Ovis aries: one gene and its partners. The protein of the gene in region 1 interacts with the protein of each later gene in a biochemical or structural test. Links are inferred from orthologs where the notes say so. Each region holds a gene or a part of one and is shown on either strand. Other genes may lie near its edges.

What was found.
Region 2: the proteins of PRKAR2A (region 1) and AKAP11 form a complex in vitro, tested with the Homo sapiens proteins (2 studies listed by BioGRID, with this or other methods). The link is inferred for Ovis aries from reciprocal best matches to the Homo sapiens genes PRKAR2A and AKAP11.
Region 3: the proteins of PRKAR2A (region 1) and AKAP1 form a complex in vitro, tested with the Homo sapiens proteins (2 studies listed by BioGRID, with this or other methods). The link is inferred for Ovis aries from reciprocal best matches to the Homo sapiens genes PRKAR2A and AKAP1.

What each region holds. Positions count from the first base shown.
Region 1 is NC_056072.1:51,132,739-51,136,485, forward strand, and holds the start of PRKAR2A (cAMP-dependent protein kinase type II-alpha regulatory subunit), read left to right. Parts: upstream 1-1,413; 5' UTR 1,414-1,705; coding exon 1,706-1,958; intron 1,959-3,747. UniProt on the Homo sapiens protein: Regulatory subunit of the cAMP-dependent protein kinases involved in cAMP signaling in cells. Type II regulatory chains mediate membrane association by binding to anchoring proteins, including the MAP2 kinase.
Region 2 is NC_056063.1:12,814,926-12,818,572, forward strand, and holds part of AKAP11 (A-kinase anchor protein 11), read left to right. Parts: coding exon 1-1,343; intron 1,344-1,876; coding exon of another isoform or gene 1,877-1,937; exon of another isoform or gene 1,938-2,826; intron 2,827-3,647. UniProt on the Homo sapiens protein: Binds to type II regulatory subunits of protein kinase A and anchors/targets them.
Region 3 is NC_056064.1:7,655,033-7,658,679, forward strand, and holds part of AKAP1 (A-kinase anchor protein 1, mitochondrial), read left to right. Parts: intron 1-754; coding exon 755-881; intron 882-1,400; coding exon 1,401-1,528; intron 1,529-3,039; coding exon 3,040-3,217; intron 3,218-3,647.

The DNA of each region.
Region 1 (3,747 bases):
CTCTTCTTGCTGTGTGAAAATTTATTATTCATTTATTTAGTAAATCTTTAGCAAGACTGCAATAAGGACCCCAGCAGGGAATGAGCTGGACACTACTCTTCCCCTAACAAAGTTGATGGTTCAGAACTTCTCCCAGGAGTCAAGAAACTTGTCCAGGGAGACACTGCTCTTTGGAATCACAGACTTGCCTGGCCTGGGGGCTGGGTGGCTTCTGCACCAGTGGGGATCAGGTATTCCTGCTTCTAGATGCTCAGTTCCCAGCAGCACTGAGCTCCTGGATGTGTGCCAAGACAAAATGAGAGGTCCTAGTGAGGATTTAATTAATACTGGATAATTACCAGGCAGAGCTTAACCATCCCAAATGCCTTTCAGATTCCCAAGGCTATATCTAGTCACTTTCTGACTTGGCCCAGCAGAGAGACAGGATGCTGTCCCATGCTTACTGGGACTTTGGTCAGCACCTGGGCTGTGTTATGAACACACTGGGAAGGTTTCCACTTTTTTCTCTTCCTTTGCAATCTGCTGTAGGTGAAAGTGCAGCTTGGGAAATAGCATGGCCTCTCCAGATTGCTTAGGCCCCTTCCTAGGGACAAAGGATAACAGTGTCTTGCCATCTGCTGAAACACCATCAAGCAATGCTGGCCCAGGGCCCAGGGTCCAGGGCAGAGTATGGGGAGAGAATAGGTGTGCAGACCTAGTCCTGGGAAGCCTGATGGGAACCCTCAAGCAGAGAAACAGGCACAGTAGTCCTTCCTGCCCTAGGCTTTATTCCTTTTTCTCAAGGAACATATTTTCTAACTCATTTTTCCAGATTTATCTGCCTGTGGCTCCCAAATTATTATACCATCGAAACTCCTACTGTCTACAAGGCCTTCTTTCTTTGACATCTCAAAGACCTCCTGCCAGACTTTAGAGGGTCCTATGGTCATTCCACCATGCCACCCAACGGTCAGGGTGGTTGTGACTTTCCCTGGTCTTCACTCTTGTTGTCCTCTATGTCCACATGGCTTTCCTCTGGCTCTTCCTGTGGTTAGATCCTGCCCAGGTCTCGGAGTCAGCTTGAATGTCACCCCCTAAAGAGGGTCCCCTTGTTCTCCACCATATCTGGAAGCACACCGAGATGGTAAGGTGGCATTCTTGCCTGTGGCTCTCAGCTATGTCCCTGGTACCCAGTAAGCGCGGGCAGATGGTTGGAGCTTAGCGTTTGCTGAAAGAAGAAATGAAAGATAAGAGGCACTAACACTCCGCTTAGCGGGTAGACCTCTCATCCTTGCGCCTGGACTGAAGATCACCAGGGTAGCCGGGCGAGCAGACGGCCCCTTGGCGCAAGCGCACTGAGGGCCGGCGCTCGGCGGGAGCGCGCACGCTCGCGGCCGCGTGCGTCACAACCCGGGCTCCCGCCCCGCCCGTCCAGCTCGCCCGCTCGTCGGTGCCCGCGGCGGCGGCGGCGGCGGCGGCGGCGGCGGCGGCGGCGGCGGCGGCGGCTGCCCAGTGACAGCGGCGGCGGCGCCAGGCCGGCCGGAGTAGCGTAGGGTGGTGGGGCCCGGAGACACACACCCTGCCAAAGGGCGGCGTGGCGCGAGGAAGGCCCGACCCGGGTCGCGCGTGAGGAGACCTCGCGGGGCGCCGGGCGAGAGGCCGGCGTGAGGGAGCGCCCGCCTAGGCGGTGGCCGCCGGCGGCCCGGTCCCGCCTGCCGCCGCCGGCATGAGCCACATTCAGATCCCGCCCGGGCTCACGGAGCTGCTGCAGGGCTACACCGTGGAGGTGCTGCGGCAGCGGCCACCAGACCTCGTCGACTTCGCGGTGGACTATTTCACCCGCCTGCGCGAGGCCCGCTCCAGAGCCTCCACCCCGCCCGCCGCCCCTCCTTCCGGCTCCCAGGATTTCGATCCCGGCGCTGGCCTGGTCGCCGACGCGGTGGCGGACAGCGAGTCGGAGGACGAAGAGGAGTTGGACGGTAGGCGGCGGGCTGGGCAGGGGTTCGCGGTACGGGGACCGAGGAAGCGGTGCCGGGGGGCGAGGGTCTCTCGAGATCCAGAGAGGGGCTGCGAGGGGCCAGGCCCGCCACCCTGGGCCGGGACCTTGGAGCCCGCGAGGGGAGTTCGTCCAGGTTCCCCAAGCCGCCGGCGTGAGCCACTTCCAAATTGAGCTCGGCGATCCTGCCAGCCCCGGAAAGCAGCGAGCGAGTTGTCAGATTCAGCTCGAGGGAAACGTGCGCGCTTTCGGCCCGCGTGCTGGCGCAGGGCCGGAGGGGCGTGGAGCCCACGGCCGCCTCGGCTGGAGAAGCTTCGCCCGGTTTCGTTGCGAAGACAAGAACGTTCGCCTACACCGACTCGAGTTTCCTAACCAGGACGGTAACTTGGGAAAGAACTCATTTTGTGAAAAGTTATCGTGCAAACTTTAAGCGTAGACAGAAATAGAAAAGGTGACCTGAACTCCCTGTATACCGTCACCCACGTTACACAGTTGAAATATCTGTCACAAATGTTTCATCTCTCTATATATATTTTTTCTCCTTTGCTGAAGTATTTTAAAGCAAGTCCCAGCATTTCACGTTCTTTCAGTCTTGGATACTTCAGTATATGTATAAAGATATATGTATAAAGATATATTTAATTTGCCTAAAATCACTGGATCAAATGTGGTGAGGGTCAACAATACATTTTTTTCTCATATGTGGTGCAGGAAAGACGACTAGTAACACCTCTATATCTGATTTAAGCAAGATTGTCAAAGAGGAATTCCATTTTCCTTGATGGCTTCAACACAGACTTTGTCAGTTTAACGATAGAATTACCCTAGTTTTGAACAGCCAGAATTTAACAAAACAATGAAAACACTTGAGAGACAAAGTTAGAGACTTAGTGTTTACTAGCTCGCACTGAGAAAACCCCCAACAACCTAGTTTTGAGTTGAATCCGCATGTAAGTTAGGCTGGCAGGGAGTTAATTATTGGTCATTGCTATTGCAGGTTGTAAGGTTCAGTGCCGTGGACAACTTAGTTTATTCACGCTAAGAATGGAAATTGTTCGGCCATGTTACCCTGGCTTTAATACACATTAAATTATGGGTTTTTCACCTTAAACCTGGAAATCAGAACTTATTTCACAAACCAACCCCTGCCACAGAATTGCTTTGTGGTCTAAGATAAGCCATGGAACTTGTCTGATTTCAAATTTGCTTATCTTTAAAATAGGGTTAGTGACCACAATCTCCCAGGAATAAATGTGTTTTTAAAAGGTTTATTTCAGAAGTGACTTCTGCATTTGTTTCACTGTCATAACAATAAATCACAAAGTTGTAACTTGCTTTGCAACAATATTTACCCCAAATGTTATTATTTTAGTTATTAGTCACAGGTGAGTAAAACAGAATTTCCAAGTTTTGTGTCATGTCTTCATTTTTTGGTCATTTTTTATATATTTTTCAAAGTTGAATTGACTCAAATCTTTGTAACCCTGTGCTTTATTTTACTGGTATTTAATTTTTTTGTTTATATCTCTTCAGTGGCTGTGCTAAGTATAATTATAGCAGTCAACACAAGGTGAACTTCTGTTTACAGATAATAGACTAAAAATACACTGCACACAGTGAGATACCACTTCATAACCATGTGGTTGGCTATTATGGAAAAAAAAAAAAAAACAGAAGAGCAAGTGTTGGTGAGGATGTAGTGAAATTGGAACTCTTGCTTACTGCAGGTGGGGATGTAAAATGTCCTGGCTGCTGTGGAAAACGGTTTGACT
Region 2 (3,647 bases), on another chromosome or scaffold:
AGTTTTGCAGGGGATATGGCAGCAGAAGTCATTACGGAAGCTGAAAAAATAGCAAAAGTTAGGAGCTGTATGTTTTTCAGGAGGAAGAGGAACAGTTGTGTTGATGGTGACCAAGATTATAGATCAGAAGAGAAGTCGGATGTAGAGGCTGTAGCACACCCGGGAGGAGTAGATCCGTTTGTTCTTCCTTTACCACCAAGTTCTTGTCTGTCAGGTCTAACGTACAAGTATCCCAGCTGTGAAAGTGTGACAGATGAGTATGCAGGTCACATTATCCAAATACTAAAACAGGAAGGTGGTAATAGTGACTTAATAATGGACCAGTACGCCAACAGACTTGCCTATCGGTCTGTTAAGTCAGGATTGCAAGAAGCAGCTAAAACAGCCAAAGTGAAGTGCAGCTCCAAAATATTCCCTGTGCAGAGCTCACAGATGAAAACCAACGATGAACTGTTACTGTTTTTAAATAAAGAACACCAGCAAGAAGCAGATAAAAAAAGACAAAGCAGAAGTGGTGGAAGTTACCTTCATAAAAACCAGACTTGTGAGTGGACACGGGACATGTGCAGAAATGAGTGCTCAGAACTACATAGTTTTTCAACCTGTCTTGCTCACAGCATCACAAGAGATGTTACAAAAGAGCTGATGGCATCAACAGGTGGCTTGCCAAAATCGTTAACAGATTCTTGCCTTTATGAAAAAAACGCATGTGACGAAGATACTGAGACTCATGTCGGGCCAGAGTTTCCCAAGTCTCTTCAGCCTTCTTCACAGAATCACAGATTTTCTCAGAGTACAGGCAGCTTGAGTGGGTGTGGCTATGGAGAGACTGTCGTTCAAGCTATAGAGCAGTATGCTAACAAAGTCGTGGGCGACACTTTAGAGGTGGGTTTAGGATCTGCCGTCTTCCACGTGTCTGAAGCCACAAAAGCAGTTGATAGGATCACTTACGCAGAAAAGCTGTCGCATCTGGTGGGTCAGGCTTGCCGATACTGTGACCGTAAAGAGCTCCATGACTGCACTGGAAATTCGTCTCCTTGCTTTCCCAGACCGGATTCACTTGCTGGTAGTAAGCCAGTTTCTCATTCACAGCTTAGCAGCTTCTATCAGAAATCTAGGATTTTTCATCTTGATGTCCCTCAAATTCACGTTAATCTCGATAAGAAGGCAGTGCTTGCTGAGAAGATAGTTGCTGAAGCGATTGAAAAGGCAGAGAGAGAGCTGAGTAGTACCAGCCAGGCAGCCGACAGTGGGATCGGACAGGAAGGCGCCAGCTTTGCCGAAAGCCTCAGCACAGAGATACTGGCGTCAGCAGTGGTCAGTGCTGGACAGGCCGTCAGCAGGTAAGCTTCTGATTTCTTTTGGGTTTTGCAGTAAAGAGTTAACTTGATTATTTATGTCTTAGAAAGATGTTCAGAAAGATGTGATTCTTTTTAATCCTAAATGAACAAAAAGAAATACTCCCTATTACATTTGCATATCGTTGCTATCCTACCTGTTACTTTTCGTAGACACTGTCTCATTATCCCCCAGCAGCCCTTTGGGGGAAGGAAGGTATGAGCCATTTCCTCAATTGGAAGGTGAGGCTTAGAGTAGATAGTCACCTTGCCCAAGTTTACACAGCTGTAGAGTAGGTAAGGTTGAATCAAGGAAACAGCTGGAGAAGTTCATACAGCAAATACTGAGTATCACCATATTAATGTACCACTCTGAGATGATGTTTTTATTTCTGTTCACAAAGGTAAGTTTTCTTACAAAGAGCATAATTGAACGTGCCAGGCATCTCTGTCCATGGGATGTCCCAGGCAAGAATACTGAAGTGGGTTGCCATTTCCTTCTCCAGAGGGTCTTACCCACCTAGGGTTCTGTGTTGCAGGTGGATTCTTGACCAGTTGAGCCACCAAGGAAGCCCCGTGAAGAAAGCAAGCATTCTCTAACTAGTTCCCTCCTGCCACCACTCCTCTGGATAAACCGCCGTCTAAGGGACAGCTCTCTGTGATAGTCCTACAGTGTTCTGTGTTTTAGAGGCTGTGCCTTGTGCTCAGTGGTCCTAACAGCTTAGTTCAGATGTTCACTTTTAGCCTTCTCTCTCCCTGGGAAAACATCAGGACTGATTGGTGTTATTAGTTTGTAGGATTATTTTTGTGAGTCTCATGGAAAGAGAAAATTTCTTGAGTTGAGGAGGAATTTCATTGAGCCACATGGTAACCCAGGATATTTTAGTATCTTTTGTCAGTGCTGTGACATGCACTGCCTCTTTTCTTGGCCATCTTAAGATAGGGATATGCAGGGAGCTAGTGCTGGGGGTGGTGTGCAGTTTTGAAGAGGTAGCAGGAAGCAACTCTGACAAAGTGACATTGGAGCAGTGAGCCAAAGGTGAAGAGACAATAGCTAAGTGGAAATCAGGGAAATGGAGTTCCCAGCCAAGGTTAGTGGGACTGCGTATTGGGGAAACAGCAGAGAGGCTTGTGTGGCTAAGGTGGGTGAGCCAGGGAGAGCAGGAGCCCGGTGGAGGTCATGAGAGGTCATCATACCAGATGCATGTTAAAAGGGTTTGGACTCTTATTCTGATTTGATGAGAAGCCACTGGAAGGTTTCGATCAGAAGACTAATACTTCCCCTCTTCATGTTTGAAAATATGGGGCAAGATTGGGGTATAGGGTTAAGAGGCACAAACTACTATGTGTAAAATAAGCAACAAGGGTAAGTTTTATAGCATTGGGAAATAAATATAAGCCATTATTTTTTAATAACTTTAAATGGAATATAATCCTTAAACATACTTACTGTGTTGTACACCTGAAACTAATAAAATAATGTAAATCAGTTCAGTTCAGTTGCTCAGTCGTGTCCAACTCATGAATCGCAGCACGCCAGGCCTCCCTGTCCATCACCAACTCCTGGAGTTCACTCAAACTCACGTCCATCGAATTGGTGATGCCATCCAGCCATCTCATCCTCTGTCGTCCCCTTCTCCTCCTGCCCCCAACCCCTCCCAGCATCAGAGTCTTTTCCAGTGAGTCAACTCTTCACGTGAGGTGGCCAAAGTACTGGAGTTTCAACTTTAGCATCATTCCTTCCAAAGATCACCCAGGACTGGTCTCCTTGAGGATGGACTGGTTGGATCTCCTTGCAGTCCAAGGGACTCTCAAGAGTCTTCTCCAACACCACAGTTCAAAAGCATCAATTCTTCGGCACTCAGCTTTCTTCACAGTCCAACTCTCACAGCCATTACATCACTACTGGAAAAACCATAGCCTTGACTAGACGGACCTTTGTTGGCAAAGTAATATCTCTGCTTTTGAATATGCTGTCTAGGTTGGTCATAACTTTCCTTCCAAGGAGTAAGCGTCTTTTAATTTCATGGCTGCAATTACCATCTGCAGTGATTTTGGAGCCCCCCAAAATAAAGTCTGACACTGTTTCCACTGTTTCCCCATCTATTTGCCATGAAGTGATGGGACCAGATGCCATGATCTTTGTTTTCTGAATGTTGAGCTTTAAGCCGACTTTTTCACTCTCCTCTTTCACTTTCATCAAGAGGCTTTTTAGTTCTTCACTTTCTGCCATAAGGGTGGTGTCATCTGCATATCTGTAAATCAACTGTACTTCAACAAAAAGTTAAAACATCACTTTAAACTGTGAGT
Region 3 (3,647 bases), on another chromosome or scaffold:
CGGGTGGGGTCCCTGGGGATTGCTTCGGGGTTTGCTTATACTGGGCTGAGTGTGGCTCCTCTGGCCCGCGGGGTGCATGTGCTCTGGAGTTGCCAGCAGGAGCCCAGGGGTTTTAGACCTTTGTTTTCGAACTGAGGCCATTCTTTGGACCTGAGCAGACTTGGAGAGGTAGAGGACTCAAAAATCCAGCCTTGTGCTTAGAAACATCCCAGTGTCTAGGAGGCGAAAATGCTGCCTTTGCAGCCTCTGAGTGTGAGCCCCATTGCTGGGGAGGAAATGGAAACTGCCTGTTGCCTGGTGCAGCTGCTTAGTAGCTGTGTGCAAGGGAAAGGCGCTCAGTTGAGTCCGAGTCTATGCGACCCCATGGACTGTATCTCCATGGATTATACAGTCCATGGGATTCTCCAGGCCAGAATACTGGAGTGGGTAGCCTTTCCCTTCTCTGGGGGATCTTCCCATCCAGGGATTGAACCCAGGGCTCCCACTCTGCAGGCAGATTCTTTACCAGCTGAGCTATCAGGGAAGCCAGTAGCTGTGTGAGCCTGGCCAAATTAACTTAACCTCTCTGGGTTTGTTCCATCAACTGTGAAATGGGGATAAACAGATGCTGTTTGTTTTGCACTCAGAACAGTGCCTGGTGAGTGAGTGCCGAGAATACGTGTGAGCCTGAGCTGGTGTGAAGCAGAGGACGGGTCTCGGGGATGCTCGAGTGTGGCTGCTTGTTAACCCTCTCACCTCTGTCTCTCTCCCGAAGCACCTGGTTGGTCGGCTGATTGGCAAGCAGGGGCGCTACGTGAGCTTTCTCAAGCAGACATCTGGTGCCAAGATCTACATCTCCACCCTGCCTTACACCCAGAACATCCAGGTCTGCCACATCGAAGGTCAGTGGCAGCCGCTGCCTGGGTTTTATGACAGTTTTCTTACCTGGAACGTAAGTGACTTGAAGCATTTGAGTCCCACTTGCTCCCTTTTGAAATCTAAGTCTCTGAATAGAAAACCCTGCTTCTCACCCCAGGTGAAGGGAGTGGGCGAGTCTTCCCGTTAGCCTCATCACTTCCGGTATTGGAAGGAGACTTGGGATCCCCCAGATCTTCTGGCGGGAAAGGGGTGGGCACTCGGGGACTGGCCAGGGGTCCTGGGCTGATGGTGGACAAAGGCCAGCCCTCCCCGTCGGCTAAGCTCCTGTTGCATTAGTGCAGTCATAAACAATAGAGGCCAAATGTGAAAGGGCGACAGGCTTCCAGCTTTAGATGTGTTTCATCCTAAGGCGAGGCTTGGCATTTTGGCACCTTAAAGGTGCACCTGAACTCTGGGAAAAGTCTGGTGCGGTTCGGGGTGGGCCTGAGTTCAGTTTTGCTCTCTGTCTGAGCCCTGTGACTGTGGTCTGGCCCCACATTCAGGCTCTCAGCATCATGTGGACAAGGCGCTGAACTTGATTGGCAAGAAGTTCAAAGAACTGAACCTCACCAACATCTACGCTCCCCCGCTGCCTTCGCTGGCACTGCCTTCTCTTCCAATGACTTCCTGGGTGAGCATGCCCCTTCCTCCCGGCCGGCCCTAGGTGGAAGCCCCCGAGGCCGTGGGCAAGGAAGGCCAGGGCACACTGCGGCCTGCCCTTTCACCTCTGGCCAGCGGTCAGCTCTGCTTTTAGTTTTCTGGGTTGGGCTGGGGGCCAGGCTGCTGTAGGAAGCCAGAGGCTTCTCGGTCCCTGCTTGGAAGGACCGTTCTCCCCGCCTCTGCCGCCTGGGCAGTCTGTTCTCTAGGCAGTTGCCTGGAAAGGACTGCTCCCTCCTGACTGGCCATGTGCAGGCTGGCTCGGGACGCCTTTGAGCTGTGCCTTGTCCTGGTAACCCTGAGCCCTGGTTCAGGGACCCCTCCGGTGGAGTCGGGTCCGGCGGTGGCCCTGGTGAAGGAGGCCCTTCCCCTTGCATCCTCATGGGGGGCACCTGGGCCATAAAGGGAAAGAAGCCCCGCTCCCCCTGCACTCCCGGGAGCCCTCGCAGAGGGGCTGGCGTTCTGGGGCCTGTGTGCTGGGGCTGTGGGGCCTCTGGGGCCTGTCACCCCATCCTGCTGTGCGCCTCCAGCCCTGGGAGCCTCGTCTCACTGGGAGCAGAACTGTAGGTTTCTGAAGGCTGAGAACACTGCACTTCACACGTAGGGTGGGTGTGCACTCCAAGAAAACGTTTAAGATGCTGGCCTTTTCATCCTGTGTCTTTCTCCCTCCCAGTACCCTTGTGCTTTGGGGGAGGGGGTGGGTGTCCCTTCCTTTCTTGTGAGTATCCGGGAGTAGGCTGACCCCCACTCCACGCTTCACTTCTGAATCATCGGGGTTTCCTGTGAGGCTTGGCCCCAAACCCGCTCTTTTTCAAGTAGTTGAGCGGTTGGTGAGGCCTCCTCTCCTTGGGCTCTGAGTGGCTGGAGCCATGACTGTTGGCCCGCAGGGCCGGGGGGTCAGCGCGGAGCTCTCACCCGAAGCTCTTTCTGTGGCCGCCTGGCTGGGAGGTGGCATGGATCCCCTTCTGTGTCCACAGCACCTAGGTGTTGCCTTAGCTTGGAGAGAGACCGACGGTCACGCTGGCACTCCTGGGGTCAGCTGCCATTCCAGGGAGCTGGCAGAGCGGCCCTCAGGCTTAACCATCTCTTACTCTTGTTCTCAGTGGCCACCCCATTCCTGTTTGCCTTCCCTGGGCCTTGCAGGGTCTGGAGAAGAGGGGGACTGGGTAGAAGCTGTGCCCAGGCCTGTGGGCGGCCAGACGCTCCATCCACCGTGGACGCCTGGGGGCCTCCCTGCCCAGCTGAACTGAGGCCACCTCTCGTGGTTACGTGGGGTGTTGCAGGGCCAGGGCCGCAGGGGAGCCAAACACTTAGAACGGCGTAAGAGAGCTTTCCTTGCACCTCTGTTGTCTAGGAGCCGTGTTGCTTTGGTTTGCTCTGCCTTTTCCAAAGATGTGCCAATTTGGAGTCTTGCCCTGGGGCCTCAGAGTCTATCCCAGGCGTGAGAAGGGCTGCTGAGTGCACACGCCCCTGCCCTCTCTGCAGCTCATGCTTCCGGACGGCGTCACTGTGGAGGTCATCGTGGTCAACCAGGTCAACGCCGGGCACCTGTTTGTGCAGCAGCACACTCACCCCACCTTCCACGCGCTGCGTAGCCTGGACCAGCAGATGTATCTCTGCTACTCTCAGCCTGGCATCCCCACCTTGCCCACCCCGGTGGAGAGTAAGCGCTGCCCTCGGGGCCGGAGTGGGGCGCCTGCACTCTGCCCAGGCTCGGGGAGAAGTTTAGGGGGTTCTCCTCTTGTTCTGCCCGTGGTTTTAACCAGCAGGAGGCTGTTCTGGGGCTCTTCCTGGGAATAGCATCCCTGAGTTCTTGGTGTCAGCCTGGGGTGCGCTGGGCTCCATTTCCTGGCTAGCTCAAGCTGGTGTTTCCACAGGCTGATGGAGAGAAGGGGTCAGAATAGAGTTGGCATGAGGGTTCTGGTCTCAGCTCTGCTGCTCGCCTGTTGAGGGAGGTGGACGCCCATGGGGTCTGGGAATCGGGGTGGCCACTGGGTGTGTCAGACAGGCACAGTGCCTGCTGCGGACGCCGCTCTCATAGATGGTCCCAGAGTCTGGTGACGGTGGATTGGGGCATTTCCAGTCAACGGGTC